4 linked regions of the Drosophila melanogaster genome follow. The protein of the gene in region 3 interacts with the protein of the main gene of each other region in a pairwise test. Each region holds a gene or a part of one and is shown on either strand. Other genes may lie near its edges.

Region 1 (8,264 bases), on a different chromosome or scaffold from region 3:
AAAGTTAATGCATTTTGGTTTTTTTCTTTTTTAAACAAAATTATCTACACTTTTTCTCTGTCTGAGCAATCGTTATCATGGTAAGTATCCGCTAATATAGAACATCTGATTTTGGCATAGCTTGCCGCCCTGGTTTCTGTATCAGCCGTTTTTAAGCCGCTGAACTTGTGACCTTTGTCCATTCTTGCTGGAAACAATTGGCCGAAACACATAGCAGTGTTTATCAGAGCTATCAACCCTGGGGATAAACCGCGCCAATCCTCAAGATTTGAAACTCGTGAAAGGCTGCAGCCGAGGTGGTTGGACAAAGGAAAACCGGTTGCCACGGGGATTAGACAACTCATCGCGTGTGAAAAGAGTGGGATCAACACAGGTGCCGATTGATTTTCAGCGCAGTTTGCCACGCCAACAGCAGCGGAAAATATGCAGGAGGCCTACGTCAACATCAACTCCATTCCCACCCACATATTCACATGGGGCAGGTGGATTGAGGAGACCATAACCGAGAAGGAGATCGTCATCTGCATAACTGGCAATCCCGGTTTGCCAGGTTTCTACACAGAGTTCGCAGGCACTTTGCAAAAGGAGTTGGGCGATCTTCCAGTTTGGGTGATAGGTGAGTGTGCTGGCGTTTCCACATTGAGTCGGTAATAGCACACTTGATGTTCCCTCCAGGGCACGCTGGCCATGATGATCCGCCAGAGGCCAGTATTCGGGAGGTTCCTCAACTCAGCGGCAACGAGGAGCTCTTCAATTTGGACGGACAAATCCGGCATAAAATCGCCTTCATCGAGAAATACGTGCCAAGTGATGTCAAGATCCACTTGATTGGGCACTCCATCGGAGCGTGGATGATCCTGCAGCTGCTGGAAAACGAGCGGATACGGAGTCGCATCCAAAAGTGCTATATGCTGTTCCCCACCGTCGAGCGGATGATGGAGTCGCCCAATGGATGGGTGTTCACCAAGGTGGCCATGCCCCTGTACTCCGTGTTTGGCTACATTTTCTTCAGCTTCTTCAACTTTCTGCCCGTGTGGTTGCGCCTGATGCTGATACAGATCTACTTCTTGATTTTCTCCATTCCACGACAGTTTCTGGGCACCGCCCTAAAGTACTCCAAACCATCGGTAGCGGAGAAGGTGGTCTTCCTGGCCGACGATGAGATGGCCAGGGTTCGCGGGATTCAAAGGGAGATTGTAGAGCAGAACCTGGACCTCCTCAAGTTTTACTACGGCACTACCGACGGATGGGTACCAATCTCCTACTATGACCAGCTCAAAAAAGACTACCCCAAGGTGGACGCCCAGCTGGACACCAAGAAGATCGACCACGCTTTCGTCCTGCGCCACTCGCAGCCTATGGCTGTAATCGTAAGAGACATGATCCAGCAGCACAGACGTGTTTGAAGTCGATTGTTGACCTGGCCCAGACAATCAGCCCTGTCCATTACCTAATCCATCCATGCCAATAGACTTGGGAATCCGGATTACGGTTGAACAGCAAACCAATAGCAATTACTCCACTGCCTTTGTGTGGCAATTAGTTCGTTTTTATTAGTATCTTTTTGCAGCTCTCGAAGACAACTCTAAATATAGTCAAAAGTGATTTAACACGGTTGAGAGGTGCGTTATTTTTCCGGGGACCCTGATCTGCTACGGGATTCGGACTTGGATCGGCTGCCAGAGCGAGAGCGGGATCTTGAACCCGACGGCGAGCGGGATCTCGAGCGGGAACCGGACTTTGAGCGCGATCTCGAACGGGATCCCGACTTGGAGCGAGACCTCGATCGAGATCCGGACTTGGATCGAGATCTTGAACGGGAACTCGACTTGGAGCGAGCACGGGACCCAGATCTATCCGATTCCCCGCCAGATTCGATGCGATTCCTGGCGCGCTTCCGCTTAGTTGCTTCATCACTGTCACTCCCAGATCCAGATCCACTTCTGCTCCTGCTGCGCTTGCGGCTAGCCTCGCGATCACTGCCGCTTCTAGAGGCACTGCCACTTCGGCTACCACTGCGATTTCGACTCCTGCTTCTACTTCTGCTCTTGCTGCGCTTGCCGTCAGACTCGGATTCGCTGGTGGAGATCGTCTCCTTGGAAAGCACCTTGAGGCGCTGCTTGGCAGAAAGCTTCTCCTTGGACTCTTTAACCGGCTTCGGCTTCTTGCCCTTCTTCTTTCCCGACTTGCCACTGGCACCTGGCTCTTCCTCGCTGTCGCTCTCGTACTTCTCCGTTTTGCGCTTGCGACCGCCACCCTTTTTGCGTTCCCCCTTGCCCTTCTTCTTCGAGGGACGTTCTCCCTCACGACGAGCTCCATCGTTATCGCTTTCGGTACCGGAGATGTAGTCATCTTTACGACCTCGCCCACCACCCTTCTTGCGTTCCTTTTCAGGTGGAGCGTCCGCAATGATGAGCATGTTCTTGGTCTTCTCCACGTACTCCTGCCGCTTGGCTAACAACTGGTCCCTGGAGGTCTTTGCCTCCTCCTCGCGCCGCTTGCGCTGCTCCGCCACCTTAATTTTGAAGGCCTCGCGCTCCTCTTCCTGCTTCCGGCGCAACGAGCGCTCCTCCTCGTCAATGCGACGTGCACGGCCCACATGGTACTGGGCCTGAGAGAGAAGATCTTGGCAGGTGCTTGCCTCAATGCCAGCCACCTCAATGTTGAAGCGATTCTTATCCCCGTGCACGGACAGATATTGGAAGTATCTATAAGAGATTGGGGTGGGATATTGTGAGTGAGATTTTAAGCACGAAACAAAACATATTCATAGAAATAGTTATTGACCATGATCAAGGAAATCATCAGCTAATCTAATCCAATCTTCGGTTTAGCAGTTCATGATGATTGCTTTGCATTAATATCTAATCTGATCTGATAAGCTAAAATGCCATTAATGGTTACTCATTTCTGCTGTACTTCTAAATATAATCAAATTCACGTTATCACTTGGTTGGTACTCTAATAACCACTTGAAAATATTTGATAGGCGCAGTTTAAGAGAGCAAGGATACCACTTACTTTTGAGCCAGCTCCAGTTCATGGACAGCTTGCAGCACAATTTCCAGAGTAGATTTCTCATCCTTGAGTATGGCCATGGCCAAACGTGAGAGGACCACTGCTATGTTGAAGAGTAGAACTGTGTCCTGGGGAGCAACTCGACGGGCCTTAAGTAGCACTGCCTTGGCATCGACCAGCTTGTTGGCTCGTAGATACGCTCTTGCCAGATATTGCATTACCTCGACGTTGTTGTGCTTGTAGAACTTCTTCATGCAGTTCTCATACATCTGAATAGCGCTGATGTACTGCTTCTGTTCGACATAAACGTGCGCAATGTTCAGCCACACGTCGCAAAAGTCGGCGGTGGCTTCGCGCACCTGGGCGAAGATATCGCGCGCCTCGATCACGCATCCCTTATGTGCCAGCACGGCACCGATTCCATTGGTGGCCCAAATATTTCGGGGATCATTGCGAAGAACCTGGAAAGCGGATGCATTTCGTTACAAATTGAGCTATAATTGGTCTATTTTAATCTGTCCCACTTGTTTGAATATGGCCAAAGCCTTCTCCTGGTGCTTCCTCTCCTTCTCCTTATCTCTACTCGGCTGATGCAGTGTTTGCAACGAAAAGTTTCCCAGAGCAATCAGTGAGTAGGCGTCGGTGGAAGTAGACGGATTCTTGAGGATCGTTTCGAAATTCTTCTGTCCCAAAGCGAATTGCATCTTGGCCAAATGGAGATTTCCCAGCAGTGATCTCGCATCTGGATTGTCGTTGTTGATGTTCAGCGCGTCCTTGAAGAAATCGGAAGCCACGAAAATGAGACCCTTGTCCCTTGCCATGCAACCCAGCCGTAAGTAGCAGTCAATATAGTTGGGATGCTCCTTGAGGATCTCCTTGTACAGCTTGTCGGCCACATCGTAGCTACTCATTGCCTCGTTCAGACGGGCCAGATTGTACTTCATGGTGACCTGAATGGACTCGTAGTATTTTACATCCTTGTCCATCTCAGAGGTTGCATGCTTCAGGGCCGACTCCAAAGTGAGCTTTGCCATCTTCAAGTTGCCCAGGCGGTAGTGCAGTGAAGCCACGTTGTTTTGAATCTCAGCGGGTATCTCGTACTTGGCCTTGTCCCGAAGAATACTAGAGGCTGTGCCGTAAGCACTGAGCGAGGCCTGCAGGTCGTTCTGCTCCAGGATTTGAGCCAGTTCTATCCAGGCTTCAATGTCTTCAGGAAATTGTTCGGTGACCTTCTTGAGGTGAGTCTTGGCCATGTCACGTTTGGTTTGCGAATTGGAGTGTGCGTACAGGGATCCCAGAATCTTCATGGTCTCGTAGTTGCCTGGCTGGATTTTCAGCACTTTCTCGAAACACTGAGCGGCCTGAAAGTATTCACAAAGTGGTAATAAGGAGGTTCAATTACAGGTGTCCCAACTCACATTTTCTGTATCTCCTCGATAAATATACATCTGGCCTAGTCCGTAATGGGGCAGCACGAAGTTAGCTGGCGCAATCTGAGTGGATTGGTAATAGTACTGAAAGGCCTGATCGTAGTCGCTCTGGGCATGGAAACTCCTGGCCAGCTGGTAACAGCTCTCGGCTCGCATCGCCTCGTTCTCGGTGTTGTGGAAGGCGTGCAGCGCCAGGTGGTGGACTTTCTGATAGTCCTTCTTAAAGAAGAAGTGATTGGCCAGGTGATTGAGCACCATGGGATTGGCATTGTCGATGGTGTACGCCTTGGAGAGCATCTGGACACCCAGTTTGTTGGATTCGGGCTCAAGTTGATTCAGCTTGAGAACGGCCAGGCCAATCAAAGCGCCCACACACTGCTGATCCAGCTGGAGCGCTCGTTCAAAGGCTAGCTTGGCCTTCTCGGGATTGCCCATCTTCAGGAAGCAATGGGCCATGCCGATTCTCACATTCGCAGGACAGTTTGGATTTGTACGCAAGGCCTTCTTGTAGAAGGCCATCGCTCCACGGTAATCTTTGCGATTGAACGCGATGCAGGCCTTTCCCAGTAGGGAGGGAATATTCGAGGGGGACTGGTTAAGCACAAAGTTGAACTGGGCATCCGCCTGGTCCATCTTGTCGCCCTCCAGCAGACAGAAGTAGGCCCTGCCCAACAGATGGCTCTGGTCGTACATGATAATCTTGTCGGCACTGGTGTACAAGTTGGTGGCCTTCATGAAGAGCTCTCGTTTCTTGTCCTTGGACTTCTCCCGATACGCCTCCTGGACATAGTGGGCAGCGAGCATGTCCAGGGCACGCATGAGGTCCTTGTCCGAGTCGCGGTACTCCTTGGTGGCGTCATCGCTGCGCGACTCCTCCAGCAGCGTGACAAAGTCCTCCGTCTTCTTTTGTTTGTAGTAGGCAAGCTGGAAAAAAAGTAGCCATGTGGAACATGCTAAATTCATTGTACCCAGTCTTTCAACTTACCGCCACATTGACCCAAACGTGCAGGGGCGCCCGCTCCTGCTTGAGAATGCTCAACACCTCTGGACAGTCGGGCAGTTGATCCGGGTCCACCTCGATCACCTAAGTTGGGGAAATAGAAGTATTAATCACTTAAAACTAGAATCTTTCGGATCGATTCTCACCTCATCGGTGTCCTGCAAAGGGATCTCTATGCAGTTGGACATGGTTTCGGAGGCCTTGAGCCCACAAACTAAGCGGTGAAAAACGGGTTACTGGCCCGAAAACTTATAAAAATGTGCTGAAATCGGAGAATGTGCAAAAAACTATATTTTTTCCATTCCGGTACGCTTGCTAGGGATGGCACAAGAGTCGATTGCGCCAACGATACCTAAGCTGCTATCGAGTTCCGATAGCTTACACTTGCTTATACCTAGCTAAATCTAGCTAGGAATAAGCCAAGGAAGTAAGTCAGTACTGCTCAACTTCAAAAGGTTGGCAGCTCTGGCAGTTGTAGACATACATTTATAGATGAAAAATGATTTTGTGAGGACTACCTAAGTGATAGTGAATTTCGGCTTAATTTTAAATTTAGATCACGCTTCGGACAAATGAGATGTGCTAGTTGATAAGATAAGATGCTGGCGCTGGGCAGAGCAGCCACCGTGGGCGCCTTTTCCGCCCCTGCCCTTTCACTTCGACTGGCCACGAAAACGAAAACGAAAACAAAAACAAACGTACACAAACAGGCCCAAACAGATGTTCGTCTCCTGTTACGCAATCTCGATAAATTGGCGCAAAATTCAATGACGTTAGTCAGAACACCGCCGGCAGCAGTGGGAAGAGCAACACGAGAAGTGACGGGTCAGCAGCAGACAGTTAGGCGCTTCCACAAATCTGCAGGGGGAAACTCAAGGTATTCGGCCAGCACCATCATGACATCCTATCACAAGGAGCTGCTCCTAAAGGATTATGGAATAGTGGGCTTCGACCTGGACGGCACCCTTCTGCGCTACAATCTCCACGAGATGTCCGCTCTGATCTATCAGGTGCTCAAGCAGTTCCTCGTAGAGCAGAAGGGCTATGACAGGGATCTACTCCTTCAATCGCTCAACTTGGACTTTCTGCAGAAGGGCCTGTTCCTGGACGGACCGCGTGGCAATGTGCTGAAGCTGAGCAGTGAGGCCCAGATCCTGCGAGCCACCCATGGCACCCGTCTACTAAGCGACACAGAAATTCAAGCCATCTATGGAAGAGATCGAAGGTGGGAAATCACCACTGCCTTCTACAGGGACCCCCTGTCCACCTGGAATGGCGACGCCTCGACGCAAATGCGCTCGCTATTGGATTACTTTGATATGCCCAGTGCCTTGGTCTTTGCCCAGGCGGTGGATCTGGTCGATAGGGGAAAGAAGCCATCGGCAGGAGAGGAGTATCAGGTCTGGCAAGATGTTCAGGCTGGCCTGATGAACATCTACAGTCGGGAGAACTTCGCCAACGACCAGAGTCTCTATTTCAAGAGCATGCGAGCGGAACCGGAACGATTTGTGCTCCGAACAGATCCCAGTGTGATGAACTGGCTCGGGGAACTGCGAAAATCCGGCAAGAAGCTATTTTTGCTCACCGGCTCCAACGTGGACTTCGCCAATTTGACGGCCACGCAGGCGCTGGGCAAGGATTGGCGCAAATACTTCGATTTCGTGGTAACATACGCCAAGAAACCAGGGTTCTTTACCATGCAGCGTCCGTTCATGCAGGTGGATGTGGAAAAACTGGCAGAACTGCCGCAAGAGGCAGACAACATAAAGGCGGGCGAGGTCTACTCGCAAGGCAACTGGCACCAGCTGCACACTGCCATGGCTGGAATGCTCCAGAAGAAGCCCTCTGAAGCCAAGGCACTATACTTCGGTGATAACATAATCCAGGATGTTTACACACCGGTGAAACACCGCGACTTCGATGCCGTGGCCATAGCCGAGGAGCTGCTCCTTGAGGATGGTAAATATCCGTATGCTGCCGAATTGGACTCCCAGCTGTGGGGACCATACTTTGCCCTGGACTGCACACCAACTCTGTGGTCCAGCTTCATCAGCAGCTATGCCCAGTTGTGCGTGCCCACGGTGGAGCAAGTGGCGCAGACTGCGCCAGATAAGCGAATCGTTTGCCACAATCCGTATGGCTTCAGTCCGCGGCTGCCCAAGGAGCTGGAGACTGTGCAGCTGAAGAGCTGCTGGCGTGGATAGGCGCCTTGCTATCATCTTCCTAGAGACAATAACCGACCTGCGATTCCGAGGCGCGGTAAATCCGATAAGGCTTCTATCAGTGGAAGCCTCTTTAAATTCTTACGTACAAACAATTGTATTTGATAATAGCAATAAAAACGCGAGATTCTGAATTATTCAATTTAGCCTCTACAGTGTACGCCATAGCAATAAGATTTTCCACACTAGACTTACAACTAGTTTAGTTCCCCTTAACAAATTCATGTCAGCAATAGCTAGTACTTTTGTAATATGTTTACTGTATTATATTTTGGGCTCTCCCCTTTGCGAAATGCGAGATTCGTGGTCTTATTCCAAAGGCCACAACTATGCCCGATATTATTGTTATTGGCACAATAAATAACTAACTTCCACGATAAGAAATTACGAAGAGTGTTTATAAATCGCCAGTAGTGTCTCTGTAAATACTATATTTATTTTTTCGATCTTTGGGCAGTGGGACCTTCGATGACCGCGATGCTTATGCTGAAGATCTAAACAAGTTACCTGTTACTGGTACTGGAAAAGTACTCGGAGAGCTCGGAGTCTACATATGAAATGATACATGTGACAATGAGCGGAAAAGAGGGTGTC
Region 2 (6,304 bases), on a different chromosome or scaffold from region 3:
AAGGCGGCAGCCTCATTTTCGTCCGTAATTGTCGATATCAGCGAACGCAGCTTGTCGCCAAAGTCTGGACGCTCCACGTCGTAGTCCGCCAGCAGTTTGGCCCACAGCACATGGTTCTGTACGTTGCCCTGATCCACCAGGTAGTTGACAACGTATTCGGACAGCGGTATGCCTGCAATATGTAACTCGTCAATTGGTTTAACTACGAATGGATTCTATCTATCGCATACTGTAGTAGTAGCCCAACGCTTTGGCACACTGCTCCTCGAATGCCTTGCGCTCCTCGTCCGTTTGGGTGACGACCAGGCGGGCCTTTAGATACTTCAGCCACACGTGAGCCGGCACAGTGGCCAAATTTTGCAGCTCCAGCACCGATGACTCGATCTTTTCCAGATCATTCAGTTTGCTGCATTAACGAGCATCAACATTAGCTAATGCCGATATTGAAAAAATGGAAAATGGGAGTGGGAGAAGCAGGCAAACTCACAATGCGATTCCAATGAGCGAGACCATTTGGGCAAACTTTTTGCTGGGCAACGCATTCAGCTCCTGATACGAGCGCTCTAGCTGATTTCCGCCGCCAGCGTTGTCGCTATCACTGTCACTGTCACTGGACACCTCACTGTTCGATTCCAATTCCGAGCCTTCGATCACGCCCACATCATCGCTACTGCTGCTGGAATCATTGCGCGCTCTGCCACGGCCAGCGGCATTGCCTCCCTCAGTCTCCTCCACTGACGGCTCGTCGTCCGATGAGATCAACTCAATGGTGGTCATATCCCCGCCGGCGGACGACGGTGGCCAGGTTGGGCGCGATCGTTGGCGCAGCTCCTCCGACTTGTGCTCCTCCTCCTGCTGCGGCGACTCACTGTGCCCCTGCTGCGGCGAGCCCTTGCCCTGATCGGGTATCACGATCAGATCATACTCGTCATACGCATCGTCGTCCAAATCCTCTGCCGGCATCTCGTCCAGCTCCTTCTCCAGCTGCCTTTCCAGCTGCAATATATTGGGCATACGCATAAGGGCGGCGCCTATTGGAGCTATAATCTGACACTCACCTGCTTGTCGGCGTCCATGCTTCAACCGTTTATTTTGGTGGAAAACTTTTCGCTTTCCGTGGAACTGCAATTTTTCCCCCCCAAAAAAAATACAGGAAATAAAAAAACAAAAAAAAAACCGCAAACGCAGGGCTGGCCAATCTAATATCGCGTTGTTGCGCTTATCGTGGAAAATTATTTGGTTTCAGGTTTGGTTTCCCTATTGGGCACTTTTTCTTGGAAAAACTTTCCAAGCACTTACTTTCTGAGAATTCGGTTAACGAAAACTTATCATTTTCTGTCAAGAAACACCGGTAAAGTGTGAATAATATGCGAATTTTTTTTTCGTTATAACAGTGTGACCAGTGCGTAATATCGATAGCTGTGCGCACTCGATAGTTGCGGCAGTCCAGACAATGGCTGTGTTACCAGCAGTGCAGTGAAGACTCGTGATGAGCAATTTGAAGACTAATTTCGGTAATATGTGGTCAATATTAACTGGTTTCTTTGGGCGGTCAGAAATGTATAGCAAAGTCAAATGATAAACTAAATCCTACCAAGAAATATAATTTATTTTAAACATATATATATTTTATAGAAATAAATAAAAATGGAATTTATTTTACTTAAGTGCTATATATATATGTATCATAAAATGTAAACAATTTCTGTTTCTTTTACACAAACTATTTAATAATAATAAACTATTTAATACGCAGCCACATCATAAATGGATTAAGTGTAGACAGTACTCAGGCAAATAATAAAAATATTATACCATTATATGAATGGATTAAGTGTGGACAGTAATTAAGCAAATAATAAATATATTACTATATACTATAATACTATAATAGGAATTGATTAGGTGTAAACAGTAATAAGTCATATAATACATATATTGTATATATTATAGGATATAGTAATAATAATATAATAATAATTAGGCAAATAATAAATACAAATATTATACTATTATAAGAATGGTTTAAGTGTAATAATATTATATATTATATAATAATTAAGCAAATAATAAATATATAATACTATTATAAGAATGGATTAAGTTTAAACAGTAATTAGGCACATAATACATATATTGTATATATTATAGGAATGTATTAAGTGTGGACAGTAATTTAGCAAATAATAAATATATTTTACTATTATAGCAATGGATTAAATGTAGATATTAATTAGGCAGATAATAAATATATACTACTATTATAGGAATTATTTGATAGTTTTCTATATTGTATGCATTACAAATTAAGTCAGATGTTCGGTGGAAACGTTTTAATTATAAATTTGCATATCAACGTATATTTGCTTATATTAGTTAGTTTGCTATGTCCACTATGTTTTATATAATAAAGTTAATAATTATATGTAAATATATAAAAAAAGGAAATAATTATAGCATATATATTTTGCCCGCGCAACCAGTCTTCAAATGCCCACAGTATGGTCACACTACGCTTTTCCCGCGAAAAAACTTTGCATTCGGCGTGCAATTTGCGACATTAGTTTTGTTTGCATTTGCGTTTGCCTCCGAACGGATCGAAGTTGATCCATAAGCGAAATCGAAAGAAGTTTTGTGAACTCCAGTGTACAGCTTAAGTCACAGAATGGCCCACGAGGGGGAGCAGTTCATCAAGGACATACAACGCGAGTATGTGGACTTTCTGGACGACGAGGAGGATCAGGGCATCTATGCGGGCCACGTCAAGGATATGATCGCGGAGAAGAGCAAGCGCCTGATCGTGAATGTCAACGATCTAAAACGCAAGAATCCGCAACGTGCATTGGGGCTACTGAGCAACGCGGCGGATGAGCAGCTGGCCTTTGGCAGGGCGCTCAAGGAGTATGCGTCCACGGTTGATCCGGGCTATGCCAAAATGCATGAGGATCTGTTTGTCGGCTTCGAGGGCTGCTTTGGCAATCGGCATGTGACGCCGCGCTCCCTCACCTCCATCTATCTGGGCAACATGGTGTGCGTGGAGGGCATTGTTACCAAGGTATCGCTGATTCGTCCCAAGGTGGTGCGCAGCGTTCACTATTGCCCCAATACGCGTAAGGTAATGGAGCGCAAATACACCGATCTCACATCGTTCGAGGCTGTGCCATCTGGCGCTGCCTATCCCACAAAGGACGAGGATGGCAATCTGCTGGAGACCGAATACGGTTTGTCCGTTTACAAGGATCACCAGACGCTGACCATTCAAGAGATGCCCGAGAAGGCGCCGGCTGGCCAATTGCCGCGTTCGGTGGATATTGTGTGCGACGACGATCTCGTGGATCGCTGCAAGCCCGGCGATCGTGTACAGATTGTGGGCAGCTATCGCTGTTTGCCGGGCAAACGCGGTGGCTACACCTCGGGCACGTTCCGCACCGTGCTGCTGGCCAACAATATATCGCTGCTCAGCAAGGAGAGCAATTTGGACATATCGCGCGAAGACATCATGCTGTGCAAGAAGCTAGCGAAGAATAACGACATCTTCGAGCTGCTCAGCAAGAGTTTGGCGCCCTCGATTCATGGACATGCCTATGTGAAGCAGGCCATTCTTTGCCTGCTGCTCGGCGGCGTTGAGAAGATCCTGCCGAATGGCACACGCCTGCGTGGCGATATTAATGTCTTGCTTATCGGCGATCCTTCGGTGGCCAAGTCGCAGCTACTGCGCTACGTCTTGAATACGGCACCAAGGGCCATACCGACAACGGGTCGCGGATCCAGCGGCGTCGGTCTGACGGCGGCGGTTACCACGGATCAGGAGACCGGTGAGCGGCGATTGGAGGCGGGCGCCATGGTCCTGGCCGATCGCGGTGTCGTCTGCATTGATGAGTTTGACAAGATGAGCGACATCGATCGCACAGCCATTCACGAGGTGATGGAACAGGGTCGTGTTACCATTTCCAAAGCGGGCATCCATGCCTCGCTCAATGCTCGCTGCTCCGTTTTGGCAGCCGCTAATCCGGTGTACGGAAGGGTAAGAGTCCATCCGAATCCGTCTGTTCATCGCTTTTCTTGCTAATTTCGTCTTCAATTCCAGTATGATCAATATAAGACGCCGATGGAAAATATTGGACTGCAGGATTCGCTGCTTTCGCGTTTCGATTTGCTCTTCGTTATGCTGGACGTGATTGACAGCGATGTGGATCAAATGATTTCGGACCATGTGGTGCGCATGCATCGCTATCGCAATCCCAAGGAGGCCGACGGCGAGCCCTTGTCCATGGGCAGCTCCTATGCGGACTCCTTGTCCTTTGTTTCCAGCAGCGAGGAGGTGGGTTTTCGTCGAAAGGCACGATTATGATTGTGTATAATCGATTGACATGGTCTTGAAATTGTATTTTACAGAAGAAGGACACCGAGGTGTACGAAAAGTACGATGCCCTGCTGCATGGCAAGTCGCGTCAGCGTCACGAGAAGATCCTATCCGTGGAGTTCATGCGCAAGTACATACACATTGCCAAGTGTATGAAGCCCAAATTGGGCGAGCAGGCCTGCGAGGCGATTGCCAATGAGTATTCGCGCCTGCGCTCCCAGGAGGCGGTCGAAACGGATGTGGCACGCACGCAGCCAATAACGGCCCGTACCCTGGAGACCCTCATCCGTTTGTCCACGGCCCATGCCCGGGCACGCATGTCCAAATCGGTGACCATCGACGATGCCCATGCGGCCATCGAACTGGTACAGTTTGCCTACTTTAAGAAGGTGCTGGATAAGGATCGCCCCAGCAAGCGTCGTCGCAACAGCGGCTCCGATGCGGAGGATGACAACGGTGAGGCATCTAGCCAGCGCTCACCATCGCGACGCTCCAAACGCACACGCACAGCGACCGTCGGTGCCGATAGCGATGAGGAGGATATTGAGCCACCACAGCCGGATGCTGGCGATTTGACGCGTCGCGAAACGCGTCGTTCTCTGCCCGCTCGCTCGGTCGCCATGCTGATGGCCAGCCCCTCCAGTGAGGAGCAGTCGGTGGCCACATCGACCACGGAGCCGGCCATCATTAGCGATGCCCGCCTGGGCGAGTTCAAGAACAATTTGCAGCGACTGTTTCGCGAGGCACGCGAACAGAGCTTGGCGCTGGCCAGGATCACCACGGCCATCAACGTTGGCAGCCAGGAGCCGTTCACCGCTGGCGAAATCGAGGCCGCCGTGCATCGCATGACCGAGGACAATCAGATCATGGTCGCCGACGATATAGTCTTTCTCATCTGATCGCGCATTCCAAGGAGCAACAATCGAACGAACGATTGCATCCATCAATCCATCCTTTATCCATCAACCATTCTAGCGCTTAAGTTGTCATTTTTGTTTTGTATTTATATAAAAAAAAAAATAAACACTTTGGAACTCCCATTGCAATCCACGGAATATGTACGTTGGCATAAGGAAAGGCTGCAGCTGTTGGCTAATGTATTATAGTTAACTTATATTTGACATAAACAATTTAAGCGATATACACACAAAGTTGCACAACGGTTTTAAAAGAAACAAACTGAAGGTATAACCAACTGGCTTCACAACTCCCATTCACAATCAGTAAAAAGCTGGAGAGGAAGGGACTGCAATGTTGTGGTTAGTGGTTTCAAGCTGCAGCCACATAGATATTATTGGCATGGTTTTCGACATTTTGAGACATGAGCATTGTTTTCGCATGGATGTGAAAATATGGAAGGGACACATCGATTACATTTAATACTTGACTTGTAGTTTGAACTAACAACATTCATCGCTTCGCTTGGATTCACTTTAGAATTAAACTAGACACAAATACGGCGACTAATCGCCGATTAAAATCTATTTACACTGATAAAGAGCACCGCCAGGCACAATCACACAATCACAGGATACTAGCAGACAGATGTGGAGCAGCCAAAGTGATAAGTGGCAGAAGAGAAGGAGGAGGACGAGGATTGAGCTACTACCATCAAAGATTCACCACATTCTTGAGATCCGGCGGCAGCAAGCCCTTCATGCACTCAATCTGGGCGCGTATCTGCTGCTGAGTTGAGCCATTGTTGCCCTCCAGCTGCGTGGCTTTGTCGCCATAGAGATTCAGTTTTTGCTTGAGCTTGAGTATCATATCGATGATCTCCACCTCCTGCTTGTCGTGCGCCCAGTGCTCGAGATTCGCCACGGATAGCGCCTGCAGCTGTAGATCCTGCAGCGTTAGCTGCAGCTCCCGATGACGTGCACCGTACCAGCCGCGAAAATTGGGCGATCGAAAGAAGCGTCTGTACAGGCCCTTCCAGTCGCC
Region 3 (7,772 bases):
GCACAAATTTATGTATGTATGCTATACTATCCTACCGCAACAAAAAGGATGCGCAGACAGTGCCCATCGAAACCAGCAGTATTTTAGCTTTTTGTAAATCAATATAAACATAAGCACACCCACCTTGTAGCGTTCTAGTTCTAGCAGCACAGCTAATACTTATACAGAAATTACTTTGCGACAAATTAACTGATTTCAATTCAACCGACGCCGATACAAACAAATTATAACCAACGCGCTAGTGGGACCTTAGCTACCACGCGGAGAAATACCACGTGCTGCCGATCATCGTTTTGCTTTCGATAAGTCACGATGGTTCACGTCTTGGAATTTCTACATCTATATGTAAAAAAAAAAAAAAAAAAATTATCAGAATAGTGAAACAGTACAACCAACTTTAAAGTTGTAATAATTAAAATTGTTTGTAAATGTGGTTTAATATCATGTATACCATTTATTTTATAAATATCCACCAGCTGGTTGGACATCTGGCAACTCCTGTCATTACATGCTTTCAGTGTCGAGCGTTTTCCAGCACTTGCATGTTTACCTTAAGAAGAAGAGTAGAAAAAATCGTTGTGTAGTGGCAAAATAAATAAATACAGATGTGAGTAGCAGTAAATAAAACATACAAAGTGCAAAAAAGGCATAAAAAGTGCATGACCCTCGCATAGTTTAGTTTCCAGCTGGGAAACCTTTTATTTGTCTACGATCGTACATTTATCTGCATGTGAAAACCTCAATGAAACAAAGGGAGAAATTAACGGTGTATTTTCCCAGCCGATTTACGTGGTTATATACATAAATATATGAAGTATCTGTGAGATCTTGAAATCCCTGGTGATAAAGTGTAAATGTTTGTCCTGCATTGCGGTAATCTCTTACAACAAAGTGGTTTGTTTTAAGTGGCCTTCTTTCGAGTTCAGTTTCAATGGCCTTTATCAGCTGTTTGGCACATGGCGTTGGAAGTGCGGGTGTGTGTATGTATGTAAATAGTATGTACAGTACGTACGTGTGTGCAAGGGTGACAGCTGTCGCCCCAGGGAGAGCAATGTAAGTGAGTAATATTTGTTTATGTGAAAGCAAAGTTCAACGGTACCTGCAAACACACAAACACACATCCCCAACATCCGTGCTGATTACGCTGCTGTTTTCACCTACACCGACGTACCACTGTGACAGTGTGTAAGGTTTTGCCTCTTCAGCATGATTCGGCACTATTTCGTCCAGTTTTTGCCTTTATCATTCATTTACCAACAACCAACTCAGCGTCACTTTATGCGGAAATTTAAAGCCGCACTTTGATGAACTAATGTTATTAAAGGGCGTGGATTTTCCAAAGTACGTTTGATTCGCCATAATACTTATATGGGATTTTTGGCGGGGGAAGTCCCTTTTGCCCTTATCTGATTAAACAAAAATATTTGTGTAGTACATATGTAGTGGTTTTAATTTGGTGATTCAGATAAGAAAAACATACGATAAATTTTAAACGTTTTGTAAACATTTCTCTAGAATAAATAATAAAATTAAAGGATAATCTTTGAAAGGGTTTTGTGTCTTAATATTATTAAATGAAAAAAAAAAATATTTCATTATTGTAGTTACTTCATTTAATGCGAAAAATTTTTTTAAGTGTGTATCAGTGATATTAATATTTCTATCGTCATGTGTATAAGGCGTTCATAAATTGAAATTGTTTTGGGAACATGACTTGATACTTCAAAATTTATTGCCTTTTCAATTGAGCTTGGTAACAATGATTAATCGGATATACCGTACAATATTGTGTATATGGCCATTTATGTTGTGAAATTCCCTTAAGACAGAACTCCGATCATGACTAAAATACTATGCAATAAAAAATAGAGAGACGTAATCTCTTTTAAACATATTCCACGATATGCGCATACGAAATTAGCTTAGCTTTTTGTTTTGATTGTATTCAATAGTTCATTTGGCACGGACTTTGAACACATTTTAGCTATCTTTTGAACAAAACGAAATTCCTAACTGCTTGCATGACACGCGTAATTTTTTTGCAAACGCTGTGTAGCCTGAGGCTCCATACAAAAACCTGTTGCTGGTAAACATGGTAAACAATTATGTTTGCCATCGGTTACGATTTGTGAGCATCATCGTTACGGTCCAAAAAACCGCCCACGGGCCGTGCGTTTCATTCATGGCATTATATAGTTTTTATCGCCACAACACGGAGTGTATTCACCTGGAAGGGCCACATAGAACTCAGGCACATGTGTGCACACACACACATATGTAAGCATGATAACGCTCTTTGAAACGCTCCCCCCACTCCGCCACCATCCCCGCGAGAGATAAGTCTCGGTGGGCTCTGTGGCTGGGCAGACGCAGACCACGGCAGTCAGTTGACGGGCTCTCTCCACGGCACACGCATGATCGCCGGAGCGGATTTGCGGAGAAGCAGCTGATCGCGCGCTTTCATTTTCACACGGACTTTCAGTCTTTGTTTGCGAAACTATTGATTATTGAAACTATCTCTACCGAACTAACGAAGCTGTGAAGGATCCCTATCGATCCGAGATTAGTGCCAAAATGCAAACCCAAATGCACTCGCCCATGCAATATGAGACCCACATCTCCGACATGCCCAACCACAAGGGATACCCCTGCCGCCCAGAAGGTTGGTTTTTTTTAAAGTTCTGGATTTGACCTTGGGTCTACAGTTCAATTCGCAACAAGTTTGCCAGATATTTTCGCTACGCGTGCTTTTGGTAAAAAAAAAAGAAACCACTGATCATGACGGTGCGCATTGCGAATCAAGTTCTCTGAAACAGCCCACAATGATTGGCGAAAACGATTCCAGATTGTGCTACAGTGAAGTCACTTGTAGTTGAATGTGAGATGATAAAAATTAATGGAGTGAAACGGCACTTATCCAGGTTGCATTGCTCGATTTGGACGTTTGAATAATTAGAGACATTTGAAATATTATCGCGAAAGAAACTGGTTTGTGTTGACAATGCAAATTCCGGTTGGCAATGTAGTATCCATTCGAAAGAGTGTTCTTGAAATAAACAGATAATTTACCTTAATCTTATCTTAGTTTTCTAATCGAGAGCTTATAAATCTTTAAGCCCAATTTACCAAATTACCAACTCATAAACTTACCAACTTATTCGCATTCAAAAACAAAATAAATGACCGCTTTAATTTCTAGAACGTATTAAAGGTCGGTCGTATCTAACCTTTCGGTTATCTTGGATATCCATAATATAGTACGTCATTTCACACTTGGAGGATTTCTTTAAAGTGCCATTTTTAATTTTTTTGCAAATTCATAACAGATTAGATAATAAAATAGAATAAATAGCCCGCGCTGATTGTCGATCTATTTGCGATGGATGAGGTACGAGGTACAAGGGTTACAGGGCTCAACTGTAGGGCGTGTATTGGTTTTAAGATTAATAATAATTAATAATAATTAATTACTATTTAATATAATTATTAATTATTATTAAATTAATTGTTAAATAATTAAAATTAATTGAATATTTTCTGAAATATGTCCTGGAATTACAATATGATCTATTCCTCGATTTTCCAGAGGCTGAGATGAGCAACACTTCGGAAAGTTGTTCCATCTCATGCGGTGGTCGATTCGGATCGGCGCACTCGACCCTAGATGATCACGATGCTACGGATGATGACATGACCTTCTGCATGTCCAATTACGCCAAGGAGGCCCTGAAGATGATGTACATGATGCGTTCGCACGGCATGCTCACGGACGTGGTACTCGAGGTGAAGAAGGAGCTCTTTCCCGCCCACAAAGTGGTGCTGTCGGCGGCATCGCCCTACTTCAAGGCCATGTTCACGGGGGGACTCAAGGAGTCGGAGATGTCGCGCGTCCAGCTCCAAGGGGTAAGTTGAGCTCAAGCGCGGCCCTTAATTGGTTGGTTTAATGGATGAACAGTTCGTCCGTTTCGGTGTTACAGGTGTGTCCCACGGCCATGTCACGCATCCTCTACTTCATGTACACCGGCCAAATACGTGTGACCGAGGTAACGGTGTGCCAACTCCTGCCCGCGGCCACCATGTTCCAAGTGCCAAACGTAATCGATGCCTGCTGTGCCTTTCTGGAGCGCCAATTGGATCCCACGAATGCCATTGGCATCGCCCACTTTGCTGAGCAACACGGCTGTGTTGAGCTGCAAAAGAAGGCCAATGTGTTTATTGAGCGAAATTTCACTCAGGTAACCTATTTACGATATGAAAAGAGTACACAAAACTATAGCTACTGAGTTCCCCTAAGGTGTGCCAAGAGGAGGAATTCCTGCAGCTTTCGGCATATCAGTTGATTGCCCTGATACGAAGGGATGAACTGAATGTGCAGGAGGAGCGAGAGGTTTACAACGCTGTGCTAAAGTGGGTGAAATACGACGAGGACAATCGACACTGTAAAATGGAGCACATTTTGGGCGCTGTCCGTTGTCAGTTCCTTACGCCCAACTTCCTCAAGGAGCAGATGAAAAACTGCGATGTTCTGCGAAAGGTGCCCGCCTGTCGGGAGTATTTGGCCAAGATCTTTAAGGACTTAACGCTGCACAAGTGTCCAGGAGTCAAGGAACGAACCCCCAACACCACAAGGATGATATTTGTCGCCGGTGGCTTTTTTCGTCACTCACTGGACATTCTGGAGGCCTACAATGTAGACGACATGACGTGGACGACACTGGCAAATCTACGCATTCCAAGATCTGGTTTGGGTGCCGCCTTTCTCAAGGGCAAGTTCTATGCGGTTGGAGGCAGAAATAACAACATTGGATCTTCCTACGACTCGGATTGGGTGGATCGCTATAGTGCAGTCACCGAAACATGGCGTCCGTGCGCTCCCATGTCCGTGCCACGCCATCGAGTGGGCGTGGCCGTGATGGACGAGCTGATGTACGCCGTAGGCGGGTCCGCCGGCATGGAGTACCACAACACGGTGGAATAGTAAGTAGTGTTCATCATTTCAATAGATAATAGTTTAATTAATTTGACAAAGCCTTTCTGGTTGTTTATTCTATCGACATAGTTTAGCAAACCCTATTTATTTAAATCTCTTGCAGCTATGACCCCGATTTGGATCGCTGGACTCTTGTACAGCCGATGCATGCCAAGCGCTTGGGAGTGGGTGTTGTGGTGGTCAACCGTCTGCTTTATGCCATCGGAGGTTTCGATGGAAACGAGCGCTTGGCCAGCGTGGAGTGCTACCATCCGGAGAACAATGAGTGGAGTTTTTTGCCACCACTACAAACGGGTCGCAGTGGAGCGGGTAAGAATGACTGGCGCATCCTGTTATCTAATTTCCAACTAAGTTCCGATTTAATTGCTATCAGGTGTTGCTGCAATTAACCAGTACATCTACGTTGTTGGTGGCTTCGATGGCACCCGTCAACTAGCCACCGTGGAGCGTTATGATACCGAAAACGATACCTGGGACATGGTTGCGCCAATTCAAATCGCACGCAGTGCTCTCTCGCTGACTCCGCTGGACGAAAAACTGTACGCCATTGGTGGATTCGATGGCAACAACTTTCTGTCCATAGTCGAGGTCTACGATCCACGAACAAATACGTGGACAACAGGAACACCACTAAAATCGGGAAGATCGGGTCATGCGTCGGCGGTTATTTATCAGCCGGCGTGTTCCACCACGTTTATGGACTACGAAGATAGTGACGCCCCACACCCGGATGGAAGTAACAACGGGGAAAGGAATGCTCATACACCACAAAACACGTACGGCAGTGGGAGTCCACATTATCCTGGGACGGCGTCCAATATGCAGTTTCATACTTCATACGGAATGAGCGGCTGCAACAATTGTGACTCGGAAATGGATATAAAACCATATATTCCTGCAGAACACCATAGTTTTCAAATTCCCGCCATTAGATCCGAGGAGCTAGTCAATCCAAACTGTCCTTGGTCCAGAATGCAGGAAAGATTTCGAAGAACTCCACCAGCGTCTTTCACAGATGATGAGAGAAATGCTAATGATATGCGGCATAAATTAAAAAAAGCACAAAAAGAATGTTTATTTAGCACAGCAGCGAAAGTTTTTCACCATCACATCGAAGGTCGCCTGCGAAAACTCACGAGCGCAGCCACATGACAATACGAATCCGAGCCTCACGCTTAGCCTCAACCAAAAACATCATTCATTGTACAAAGCCTGATCGTATCCCCTAGAATTCCATGTTGAGAAGCAGCATTCCATTGTAATATTACTTACTAGTGTGTTCGCTAGGTGATAATTAGTCAAACCGTTTTTATGGCATCCATAACATAACTGGCGCTCGTCAGCCCATTTTAAAAAGATTGATTAGGGTTAATAGTTGATTAGTGGGAGGAAAGTTCGTATTTTACGTATTTTGTAGGTATCCAAACTGATAGATTGCGTATTGTACTTTTTTTAACGTAGGATAAGAAGAGGAATTATGCGCATCCAAAATAGGTTTTAAGAAAAGAAAGCAAATAATTTAAGAAAAATAAAACAAACATATTTTACAAAGTTATTTAATCTTTTTGCTATTAATCTTGTGCAAACCTTTGGCCGTGGCAACAAAAAGGCCATATTCAAATATCTTCCTAATAAAACTCACCGTGACAGTGCTATTTATTCCATTAGAAAGATAAACTGTTGTTTTCGTATTTGTTTGTAAACGACTATTTGTGTATTTTGCTTTTAAACAAGTTGTCTTAACAAGTTGCACATTAAAGACTTCTCTGCTTTCGGGGTCTTGGAGGATTGAAGGAAACATGTGTGTTGTCGGTAATGGAAACGATGTTCAGCCCACCCATTTGCAGTCCTTTGATGGCCGACTGAATCAAAACATTTAATTATTTTTAAGTGACATGAGAGACAAAAAGTATTGAACATACCATTCTTCCAGGGCCAAGACCACGAACCTTTACTCGCACTGTCTTCCAGCCCAATTCAATGGCTTTCTGAAATACAATTTAAGTTTTTTGTTTTAAATGATTCTATGCCCATATTATACTATTCAAATGCATATATGGTATACAACTATAATGGAGATTATCTCGATGTTCTATGTAGTTTTTGACCATCCTACTTTGGTAAAACCTGTTTCTTGTGGAAATGACTTACTCCACTAATGGTAACCGCTGTAGCTTGAGCTGCTATGTTGGTTCCCTTGCGAGTGTTTTTGAATCCCTCAATTCCACAGGATCGTATCAGCCGGAGGACTCCTGGAAAGAGGGATACTTTAGATCACAGTTAGAGTAACGTTCCAGATGACCCACCTTTGTGATCCGTGACGGAAATAATTGTGTTGTTGGGTGAAACGCGAATGTTGCAGATGGGCAGCTCGTTGAAGGGTATTCCATTGAATAACGTGTTGGCGGTGCTGGCATCCGGGAAAAACTTAGCCTTGCTAAATGGAAAATTAATTGAATTCAAGACTATTTACAAATGTAAAATTGAATTCCAACCGGTTGATAAGTGTGTCGATGTCCACGGTCTTTTCGCCCACGGTTCCTTCGTCTTTGGCCGGTAAAGATGCCAGCATTTCCTTGCGGTCCTCCGCCTTCCGCCAGCAAGCGCTCGTGTGTATCCTAGAAGTCTGGAGCGGCACAGCGGGCATAGTAATACTCCGAAGAGCACTTAGAAATACACTTTTCAGTGACATTATTAATTTACTTCGCAGAGGGTTCACAAAAACCAAATTACATCACACTGCCAGTCTGGCAACACTGGCAGTGTTGGCTAGCACGCCACA
Region 4 (8,685 bases), 6.4 Mb from region 3:
TCGCACAGAAAACCATTGGACTCTCTGAGTTTCTACGTCCGCCGCAGAACGCTCCGCTCTTTCATCCGGTTAAACTGCCCGGCCGCCGACCTTTCCCTGCTCCGATCAAGAAGGTTCCGGCCTCAAGGCCCATACTTCCGCAGCAGCATCCGCATTTGCATCCGCATCCGCAGCAGCATCCCGTTCTTCTGCAGCAACAACCCTCCCTGATTGTAAGTCACTACAGGAAGCCGATACCGGGATTGCTGAAACCCTTCGTCAAGGAGAAACCTTTTCCACTGCAACCGCTGGCGGCATCTGTTTTACTCCTGGGTCAGCCCACTGAGCTAGGCGGCCTCAATAACAAGGGAGAACGACTCAAGATAAAGGGTAAACCAAAAATTCCAGTACCATATGTGGACCTAGAACCACAGGGGTCTCTGCAAAATACAGCTATCTTTAATCAACCAGGCGGAAAGGGAAAGGGGGACCAGAAACCCAAAGCCTCATCTGTGTCCATCTCAACCACGCCCATTCCGCTGGTGAAACGTCCTACAGTAAAGGAACCTTCCCAGGAGGAAATCGCCAGTATGCGTCCTGCCGTTAATCAGGGCTTCAAGCCCGACACCGTGATTGTTGAGAGCGGATTTAAACCCATCGTTAGGACCGATGGCACTGGTGTTCAATTGCCCAAGGAGATCATCGATCAGGTGGCCCATCGACGAGAGGATCCTGGGACAGAAATCGATGAGGTGATGGAAACAGATACCCTGTTCCTGGCAGCCCAGCAGGGAGGCAGTGAAACGCAGAGCTTTGAGCCCATGTTTATACCATCGCCCTTGGACAGTACTAATGCCACAAAAGTGTTGAGGGTTAACGTGAAGGAGGTTAGTCCCACGGCATCAGCTTTAAGATTGCCGTCGGCAGCCCTGGAGCACGCCCTGCCCTCCGCTTCGGAGTTAATAAAGCCCACCCTGGACGAACTCTTTGCAGAGGATCTAAACGAAGAGGAGCTAGAAATGGAGCCTATGCCGGTGGCAGATGATGTGGAGTCACTGGAAGAGACAACCAAAAAAGATGCTGTAACCACAACAATAAACATTCCAAGAAACACGACCAAGAAACCGGATCCCGATCTGCTGGAGGATCTCTTTGGGCCCGATGAAGAAGAGTTATATGCGGATGAGCTGGAACTAGACATGGATGACCGAGTGGCCGCTGCTGCGGAACGGATAGACACCTACTACCTGCCGCCGGATAACCGAAAGATTCCCGATACCAGGGTGCCGAGTGGAGCCCTCTACACCTTTGATGGCAAGTCTGTGGTGGACAGTAGCCTAGTGCTGCCGCCCAAATTGGATGCCCCGGACAATGCCAACGTCCACCAGCGACATGCCCAGTACGGATTGACCCCCTTGGAGCAGCTGGTCCGTACCACACCTCAGTTTGGAGTCTACAGAGGAGAGCTGCCACAGGAATTCCGAGGCACAGAGCCCCAACCCGTCTCCGAGTATTCCCATCCAGCGCCCTTCAGTCGTACCACTCCTGTGTTCTCCAGCAGCAGTGGCAGCACCATCTATCCGTATTCCTCGTCGACAGGAGCATCTACATCCACCGTATCATCATCGGCCTCATCGCCATTGTCCTCATCATCGCTGAGACCCATTTCCACTAAGCTACAGCTTCTGAAGCCGGAGGGCCGAAGAGCGTAGGATCTGCAATAGCGAAATTATAAGCAAGAACTAGCATTTAACCGTTTTGGGGTGTACGACTCTCATAACCACGTTACATTTACTCGTAAACCTGTATTAGCCCGTAGTTTTTTTTTAACACTTATGATGCTCTTAATTTTAAACGAACGCATGAATTTTATTAGCTAAGCTAACCGATTCTGATTAAGCCGCATTTTAGTCGTTGTGAAATAAAACCAAGAAGTAATCTGATTTGTGTTTGATTTCCGGTTCAACCGGAAATAAAGATATGTTTGATTTAAATACAAGTAAGGTCAGAGGAAATTGGTTATTCTTTTTAAGTAACTGTCATTTTAAACGTAGTACTCTTAGTACTTAGTTTTTACTTTCTTAACACTGACAATCATAAGTCGTTCGATATAATACCACACAACGCACTTGTATCGATAGCTATCACAATGTCAAAAATTCAAGCTTATCGATAAATAAAATATTAAGTTCTGAAACATAGATTTAAAAAGTAGAGTTTGGAAAGAAAAGCTGGCAAATAGCTGACCAATATTTCGCTACAGCGTTTCATACCAAATGGGAACACACCCTTGTTAATAGTATCGAATAACTATCGACTGCTGTTCCACCTCCAGCAAAAACGTGTGTTTTTGTTGCGCTGCTATTTGTTTAATTTAATTTTTAAGTTGAAACAATTATGTCGGCGCAATATCAAAGATTCCTGAAAGTACTAGAAAAGTGGCCAGCGGAGAAATCAAAAGTCGGCAGGTAAGAATAAGCATCAAAACACCCTGGTATCAAGAATGTTCGTTCTGGCGGCGCAACAACTTTGGATTATCTAACAAATAATTATTGAACGGATTTAATATTATTTGTATTAAATAGTTAGTTTTGCACACATTGATTTGTGAATTGCTTATTAGATCACTTTGGCAAGTGGAATATATTATGGGAATTTACTTAAGAACTATTTCACCTGCCGGCCCGCCAAGATTTTTAGGTTCCACGCCAACTGACCGTGTGGATTGTGGGTTTCATTTAGCCGATTCTGAGCGGCTGTGGATCGCCAATCTTAGTTACTTGTTTTACTTGGCTTAAAAGGCTTACATTGCCTTACCAGTTTTCAGAACATACAGACATCAAATTATCTTAAATTGTGTAGTGGCAAAAAAATGGCCTCTAAATTCGCATATCAGTTGGAGCCGGAGAAATTTATTTTGAGCCATGGACTTAAGTAAGTTTGGAAATATCTTCTTAAGCTTCGTTATAAAAACTTTGACTATTATAAATTTCACTGTACAAAGGTTAAATAAAGCGTGCTGATAATAATATTTGGATAATAATTGAGGAAGAAGAAAACATGTTCTATTAATTTCTTTAACGTCTGTTACTTTTATGGCCACATTTGTTAGCCTTTTGTCGGTTTCCAATTACACAAAGTGGTTTTCCACCTCAAACGCCCACTTCCGCGGAAAGTGATTAAATCTTCTTCTCAGCTGCCCCGCATGGAACGAACATCCGCCACAGAAAATACACACATGTACACTCATTTAGTGGGAACTAAACTTTTTCGCCTTTTCTCAAACAAAAGGGATCTCGGCGAGCAGATTCGCAAACAGGTGACCAAGCTTACAAGTCTAGAGGGCGGAGCGACGGATAAGGAGCTGGACCGTCAGATCAATTCTCTGGAGAGGCTATCCAATAACGTCTACGCAAAGAAGTATCCGCGCACTTTCGAGTCCACGGCCACTGGACTAACCGCCGCCCAGTGCAGCCAAGTGTTGAGCTCCGAGTTCCTGCAATATTTGAACGAGGACTCAAAAAAAAAGAAGTAGCACGATGAAGCGACTCCTAAACCCTACTAGACTGAGACTGGATTGGTTGAGACGAAGCTCTATAGATGTGACGACTGCTCCCCATGTTCCTGTGCTCTGCGACACCGCCATTGAATACCTGCAGCCCGTTCCAGGAGGCACCTACTTCGACATGACTTTCGGAGCTGGTGGCCACACGCGGCGTCTTCTGGAGAAGTGTCCCGAGGCAAAGGTATACGCCCTAGATCGAGATCCATTGGCCCACCAACTGGCCCGCGATATGAGCGAATCCGAAGAGTTCAAGGGTAGGCTGATTCCCCTGCTTGGAAAATTCTCCGATTTACCAAAGCTTTTCAAAGAACATGGCCTGGCCAAGAACTCGGTGGACGGGATGCTTTTTGATTTTGGTTGCAGTTCCATGCAATTCGATGAGGCGGTCAGAGGCTTCTCCATCTCGAGGGACGGTCCACTGGACATGCGAATGGATGGTGGCCACAGCGGAGGGGTTACAGCTGCCGATGTGTTGGCTAATGTTGAAGAGGGCGACCTTGTGAAGATTTTAAGGATGTATGGTGAAGAGAAAGCAGCCAAGAAGATAGCCAGAGGACTGGTAGACGCGCGCAACGCCCTCTTTAAAATCGAGACCACCAAGCAGCTGGCAGATATAATTGAAAACATCATGGATGGCGGGACCAGGAAGGATAAGCTTCGACGACCGGCACACTCAGCCACCAAGACCTTCCAAGCCATCCGCATATTTGTGAACAACGAACTAAACGAGATCAACTACGGTATGGTTTTGGCCAACGAAATCCTCCGTGTGGATGGACGCTTGGTGACCATTACCTTCCACTCGCTGGAGGACACTATCGTGAAGCGTCACATCAACGGAAACGTCCTGGCAGGCGCCGCCAATGCTCTTCCCCTCAAGTACTCCAGCCATTATGCAATAGACGAGCCAGATATACTAGAATCACTGACCAAGAAGAGCTGGAAACAACTACATCGCCATGTCATTGTGCCAGACGCCGACGAGGTGGCGAGGAACACACGCAGTCGATCCGCCAAGCTGAGAGCAGCCGTCAAAACAAACTAAACGCATGTCAATAAATTCCCTCGGTCTAGTTCAAAATTCTCTTTCTCAGTCTTTAATTCTCCCAAACTCTCGTCATGGTATGCATGTTTGGACTGTTTTGGTTATCTGCCAAACCAATTGGCACCTGCTGATAACGACTGGTTTATCTATTTACCACAGTTATTTGCGGTTCTCGTGCAGAGTTTTTGTTTAGTTGGATTAGGAAATTGTTGTTAATTGCCCAGGTAGAATAGTAGTTTAGTACAGTGGTACCGATTCTCCTTTTCTTTTGATTGAATATTTTTCAGAACATAATATAAATAGGGATAGAAAATCATTGGTTAGTGATGCTTTCCACAGTGCACGTATTTGATGAACTCGTTGAACTTTCGAGTACCTCTTCAAGTGGTTGATAACGGAGGCGGGCGAATTTGATATGGAAATTGCGTATGCCAGCAATTTCTCGGTTAAAGCCATCGTATAAGCTTACCATTCGCACTTCTGCGGTTGTTTTGCTCCCAGAGATTGGAGCATGTTGTGGTACTTAGGTGCCTTGGCATACGTCAGCCGGTGTTGTTCCCGGCTACCAATCGCAAGATGTGACCCGCGAGAAACCCGAAACCGATAATCTCGAAGGCGTCTGATAAGGGAGCGGGATTACAAAAAATAGAGAGAGGCACCGGGCGGAGCACCTATGTGGGCTATAGATAGGGGTGTCCGTTGAGTGCTCAGCTCAGTTGCATAGCGCGAGCCGAGTTGGCGTGGCTAGTGAGGCGGTACTTTCGGTCATCTGGACTAAAAAACTTTACGGGCTTGCGTTTTTTCAGCGGAGAGTGGACAGCAGAGCCGGCTATCAAGATGAGTGGGGCCAAGATCATATCGGGCACGGCGGTGGCCAAGTAAGTGGGCAAAACTCTTGCATCGTAGGATTCCTATTTATCATATCCCCGCCTCCCGTTAGATCCATTCGCGAAGAGCTGCGTAACGAGGTGACGGCTATGAGCAAGCAATTGGCGGATTTTGTGCCCGGCTTAAGGATTGTCCAGGTTGGTGGACGTGAGGACTCCAACGTTTACATCCGCATGAAGATCAAGGCGGCTACGGAGATCGGTATCGATGCCGCCCACGTCCAGCTGCCCCGATCCATCACCGAGGTGGAATTGCTCGATAAGGTGAGTTTGCGACGGAAGCGGATTATGCAATATGGGCAATACAATGTTATATCAACTGAAAAACGAAATATTCTCTACTTGAATAAAGTTATAAATAATAACTAATCGACTTTACCATTTCAGATAAACGATCTGAACGAGGACCCCCGGGTGCACGGCATCATAGTGCAAATGCCCCTGGATTGTGACACACCCATCGATTCGCACCGAATTACGGACGCCGTTTCCCCGGAGAAGGATGTTGACGGCTTGCACACGGTTAACGAAGGTCGCCTGGCCATCGGTGACCTTGGTGGTTTCCTGCCCTGCACTCCTTGGGGTTGCCTGGAGTTAATTCGCCGTTCTGGAGTAGAGATCGCCGGAGCCAGGGCTGTGGTTCTGGGACGCAGCAAGATCGTGGGCACTCCCGCCGCCGAACTGCTCAAGTGGGCCAATGCCACGGTCACAGTGTGCCACTCAAAGACCCGCAACCTGGAGGAGATCACCCGAAGTGCAGACATTCTGGTGGTCGGAATTGGAGTGGCCGAGATGGTTAAGGGATCGTGGATAAAGCCCGGAGCAGTGGTCATCGATTGCGGCATCAATGTGAAGCCAGGTGAGTGATGGTAATCCCTTATCAGTTCAGTTGACTGGCAACCCCAGTGGAAATCCAATAGATAATTTAAAGACTTGCTTTAACAAATTCCCTAATCTGTGGAAACATACGTTTCCACTTGTTTACTGATTACGCCGTCAATCGCTTATCAACGCATTCGACCCCCTAGTGGAACTCCTAACCCCGACGATAAGAAATGATTTTGTTTTCAAACATCATGCTCTCGAGAATTAGTTAGGGAACAGCTCCCGATCGGGGCGAACCGATCCCAATCACGATTCCACCAAATTCCAATTTTTGATCCTTTCCAGACGCCAGCAAGGCCAGTGGCAGCAAGCTGGTCGGGGACGTGGACTACGCGGAAGCTCTCCAAGTGGCAGGACATTTGACGCCAGTGCCCGGCGGCGTGGGACCCATGACGGTGGCCATGCTTATGAAAAACACCGTGCGATCTGCGGCCCGATTCCTTGAGCGTCTTGCTAAGAGCCAGTGGGCCCTTCAAACGCTGCCCCTCAAGCCCCAGCGTCCCGTGCCCAGCGATATTGTGATTGCCCGTGCCCAAAAACCGAAGGACATTGCCGTGCTGGCCAAGGAGATTGGTCTGGAAGCTCGTGAGGTTTCCTTGTACGGAAATAAGAAGGCCAAGATTTCACTGTCAGTGTTGGAGCGTCTGAAGGACAAGGAGGTGGGTCACTATGTGGTTGTAGCCGGTATGACACCAACGCCTTTGGGTGAGGGTAAGACCACCACACTAATGGGCTTGGTCCAGGCTCTCGGCGCGCACAAGCTGAGAAACACCATGGCTGCTCTGCGACAGCCCTCCCAAGGTCCAACCTTTGGCATCAAAGGAGGAGCTGCTGGCGGCGGATACGCCCAGGTGATTCCCATGGAGGAGTTCAATCTCCATCTGACAGGAGACATTCATGCGGTATCGGCAGCCAATAACTTGCTGGCCGCCCAGCTGGACACCCGCATCTTCCACGAGAATACCCAAAAGGACAAGGCCTTGTATGACAGATTGGTGCCCGCGATCAAGGGTCAGCGGAAATTCAGCCCCATTCAGCTACGCCGGCTCCAGAAATTGGGAATCACCAAAACCGATCCCGATACCCTTACCGCTGACGAATACGGACCTTTTGCCCGGCTGGACATCGATCCGGACACGATTATGTGGGAGCGTGTGGTGGACATCAACGATCGGTACCTACGCACCATTACCGTTGGGCAATCGCCCACTGAAAAGGGTATTTCGAGGGAGACCCGGTTCTCCATCTCGGTGGCCAGCGAGATCATGGCTGTGCTAGCACTATCCCGAAGTCTGGAGGACATGAAGCAGCGGCTGGCTGACATGGTGGTGGCATTCGACAAACGAGGCAAGCCCGTAACCGCTGACGATTTGGGTGTCACCGGTGCCCTGGCAGTTCTTTTGAAGGACGCTCTCGAGCCGAACCTGATGCAGTCGCTCGAGGGAACTCCAGTGCTGGTGCACGCTGGTCCCTTTGCCAACATCGCCCACGGTTGCAACTCGATCATCGCTGATGAAGTCGGCCTAAAGCTGGTTGGTAAAAATGGATTTGTCTGCACGGAGGCCGGGTTCGGATCAGATATTGGCATGGAAAAGTTTTGCAACATTAAGTGTCGGACATCCGGTCGCAAGCCGAACGCCATGGTGCTGGTAGCCACTGTGAGGGCCATCAAGATGCACGGCGGCGGAGCTCCCGTCACTCCCGGAGCCCCCTTGAACAAGCAGTACACCGAGGAGAACTTGGAGCTCGTCCAGAAGGGTCTGCCCAATCTGCTGCAGCACATCGAGAACGGAAAGGCCTTCGGCATGCCAGTGGTGGTGAGCCTTAATGCTCATTCAGCAGACACCCCGGCGGAGCATGAGTTGGTCAAAAAGGCTGCTCTGGAGGCAGGTGCATTCGCCGCCGTAGTCTCCACTCACTGGGCGGACGGAGGAGCCGGAGCCGTTCAGCTGGCCGATGCCGTGATCAAGGCCTGCGAACAGGGCAATCAATTCCGATTGCTCTACGATCTGGAGCTGCCGCTGGTGGATAAGATGAACAAGATCGCTACGACGATGTACGGCGCTGGAAAGGTGGTGCTCTCGCCGGCGGCTGAGGAGAAGGTCAAACGCCTGACGGATGCGGTAAGTCGAGAACATTTTCTTCGAGAAACTGAAAGTATTTATAGAAATGCATTGTTCAATTCGCAGGGTTTTGGCAATCTACCTATCTGCATGTCCAAAGTCTCCGGCTCCTTCACCGGCGATGCCAAAATCAAAGGCGCCCCCAAGGGCTTCACCCTGGACGTTGAGGACGTATATGTTTCAGCCGGAGCCGGCTTTGTG

Evidence for each region.
Region 1: the proteins of Keap1 (region 3) and Ctr9 interact in a two-hybrid assay, tested with the Drosophila melanogaster proteins (one large-scale study listed by BioGRID).
Region 2: the proteins of Keap1 (region 3) and Mcm3 interact in a two-hybrid assay, tested with the Drosophila melanogaster proteins (one large-scale study listed by BioGRID).
Region 4: the proteins of Keap1 (region 3) and pug interact in a two-hybrid assay, tested with the Drosophila melanogaster proteins (one large-scale study listed by BioGRID).

What each region holds. Positions count from the first base shown.
Region 1 is NT_037436.4:1,305,072-1,313,335, reverse strand, and holds Ctr9 (Ctr9), read right to left. Parts: upstream 6,048-8,264; 5' UTR 5,967-6,047; exon of another isoform or gene 5,918-5,966; intron 5,789-5,917; exon of another isoform or gene 5,711-5,788; 5' UTR 5,637-5,710; coding exon 5,595-5,636; intron 5,533-5,594; coding exon 5,434-5,532; intron 5,373-5,433; coding exon 4,437-5,372; intron 4,380-4,436; coding exon 3,543-4,379; intron 3,480-3,542; coding exon 3,022-3,479; intron 2,709-3,021; coding exon 1,628-2,708; 3' UTR 1,531-1,627; downstream 1-1,530. Other genes in the region: sturkopf, read left to right, coding at 424-616, 676-1,406; Nt5a (5' nucleotidase A), read left to right, coding at 6,048-7,652.
Region 2 is NC_004354.4:5,321,332-5,327,635, forward strand, and holds Mcm3 (minichromosome maintenance 3), read left to right. Parts: upstream 1-2,523; 5' UTR 2,524-2,665; coding exon 2,666-4,024; intron 4,025-4,087; coding exon 4,088-4,321; intron 4,322-4,395; coding exon 4,396-5,262; 3' UTR 5,263-5,407; downstream 5,408-6,304. Other genes in the region: Rnp4F (RNA-binding protein 4F), read right to left, coding at 1-172, 231-406, 488-996, 1,059-1,076; CG3309 (uncharacterized protein), read right to left, coding at 5,975-6,304. UniProt on the Drosophila melanogaster protein: Acts as a component of the Mcm2-7 complex (Mcm complex) (Mcm complex) which is the putative replicative helicase essential for 'once per cell cycle' DNA replication initiation and elongation in eukaryotic cells.
Region 3 is NT_033777.3:17,072,708-17,080,479, reverse strand, and holds Keap1 (Keap1), read left to right. Parts: upstream 1-2,377; 5' UTR 2,378-2,574; coding exon 2,575-2,662; intron 2,663-3,586; coding exon 3,587-3,903; intron 3,904-3,977; coding exon 3,978-4,235; intron 4,236-4,294; coding exon 4,295-4,977; intron 4,978-5,093; coding exon 5,094-5,299; intron 5,300-5,363; coding exon 5,364-6,142; 3' UTR 6,143-6,538; downstream 6,539-7,772. Other genes in the region: mRpS11 (mitochondrial ribosomal protein S11), read right to left, coding at 6,745-6,852, 6,913-6,978, 7,142-7,242, 7,297-7,427, 7,486-7,682.
Region 4 is NT_033777.3:10,694,356-10,703,040, forward strand, and holds the start of pug (pugilist), read left to right. Parts: upstream 1-2,178; 5' UTR 2,179-2,376; coding exon 2,377-2,447; intron 2,448-2,799; exon of another isoform or gene 2,800-2,851; coding exon of another isoform or gene 2,852-2,913; intron 2,914-3,270; coding exon of another isoform or gene 3,271-3,514; exon of another isoform or gene 3,515-3,518; coding exon of another isoform or gene 3,519-4,589; exon of another isoform or gene 4,590-4,621; intron 4,622-5,301; exon of another isoform or gene 5,302-5,395; coding exon 5,396-5,467; intron 5,468-5,529; coding exon 5,530-5,740; intron 5,741-5,863; coding exon 5,864-6,335; intron 6,336-6,646; coding exon 6,647-8,484; intron 8,485-8,550; coding exon 8,551-8,685. Other genes in the region: Skel (skeletor), read left to right, coding at 1-1,691; CG46459 (uncharacterized protein), read left to right, coding at 2,377-2,447, 3,271-3,514; CG14683 (uncharacterized protein), read left to right, coding at 3,519-4,589.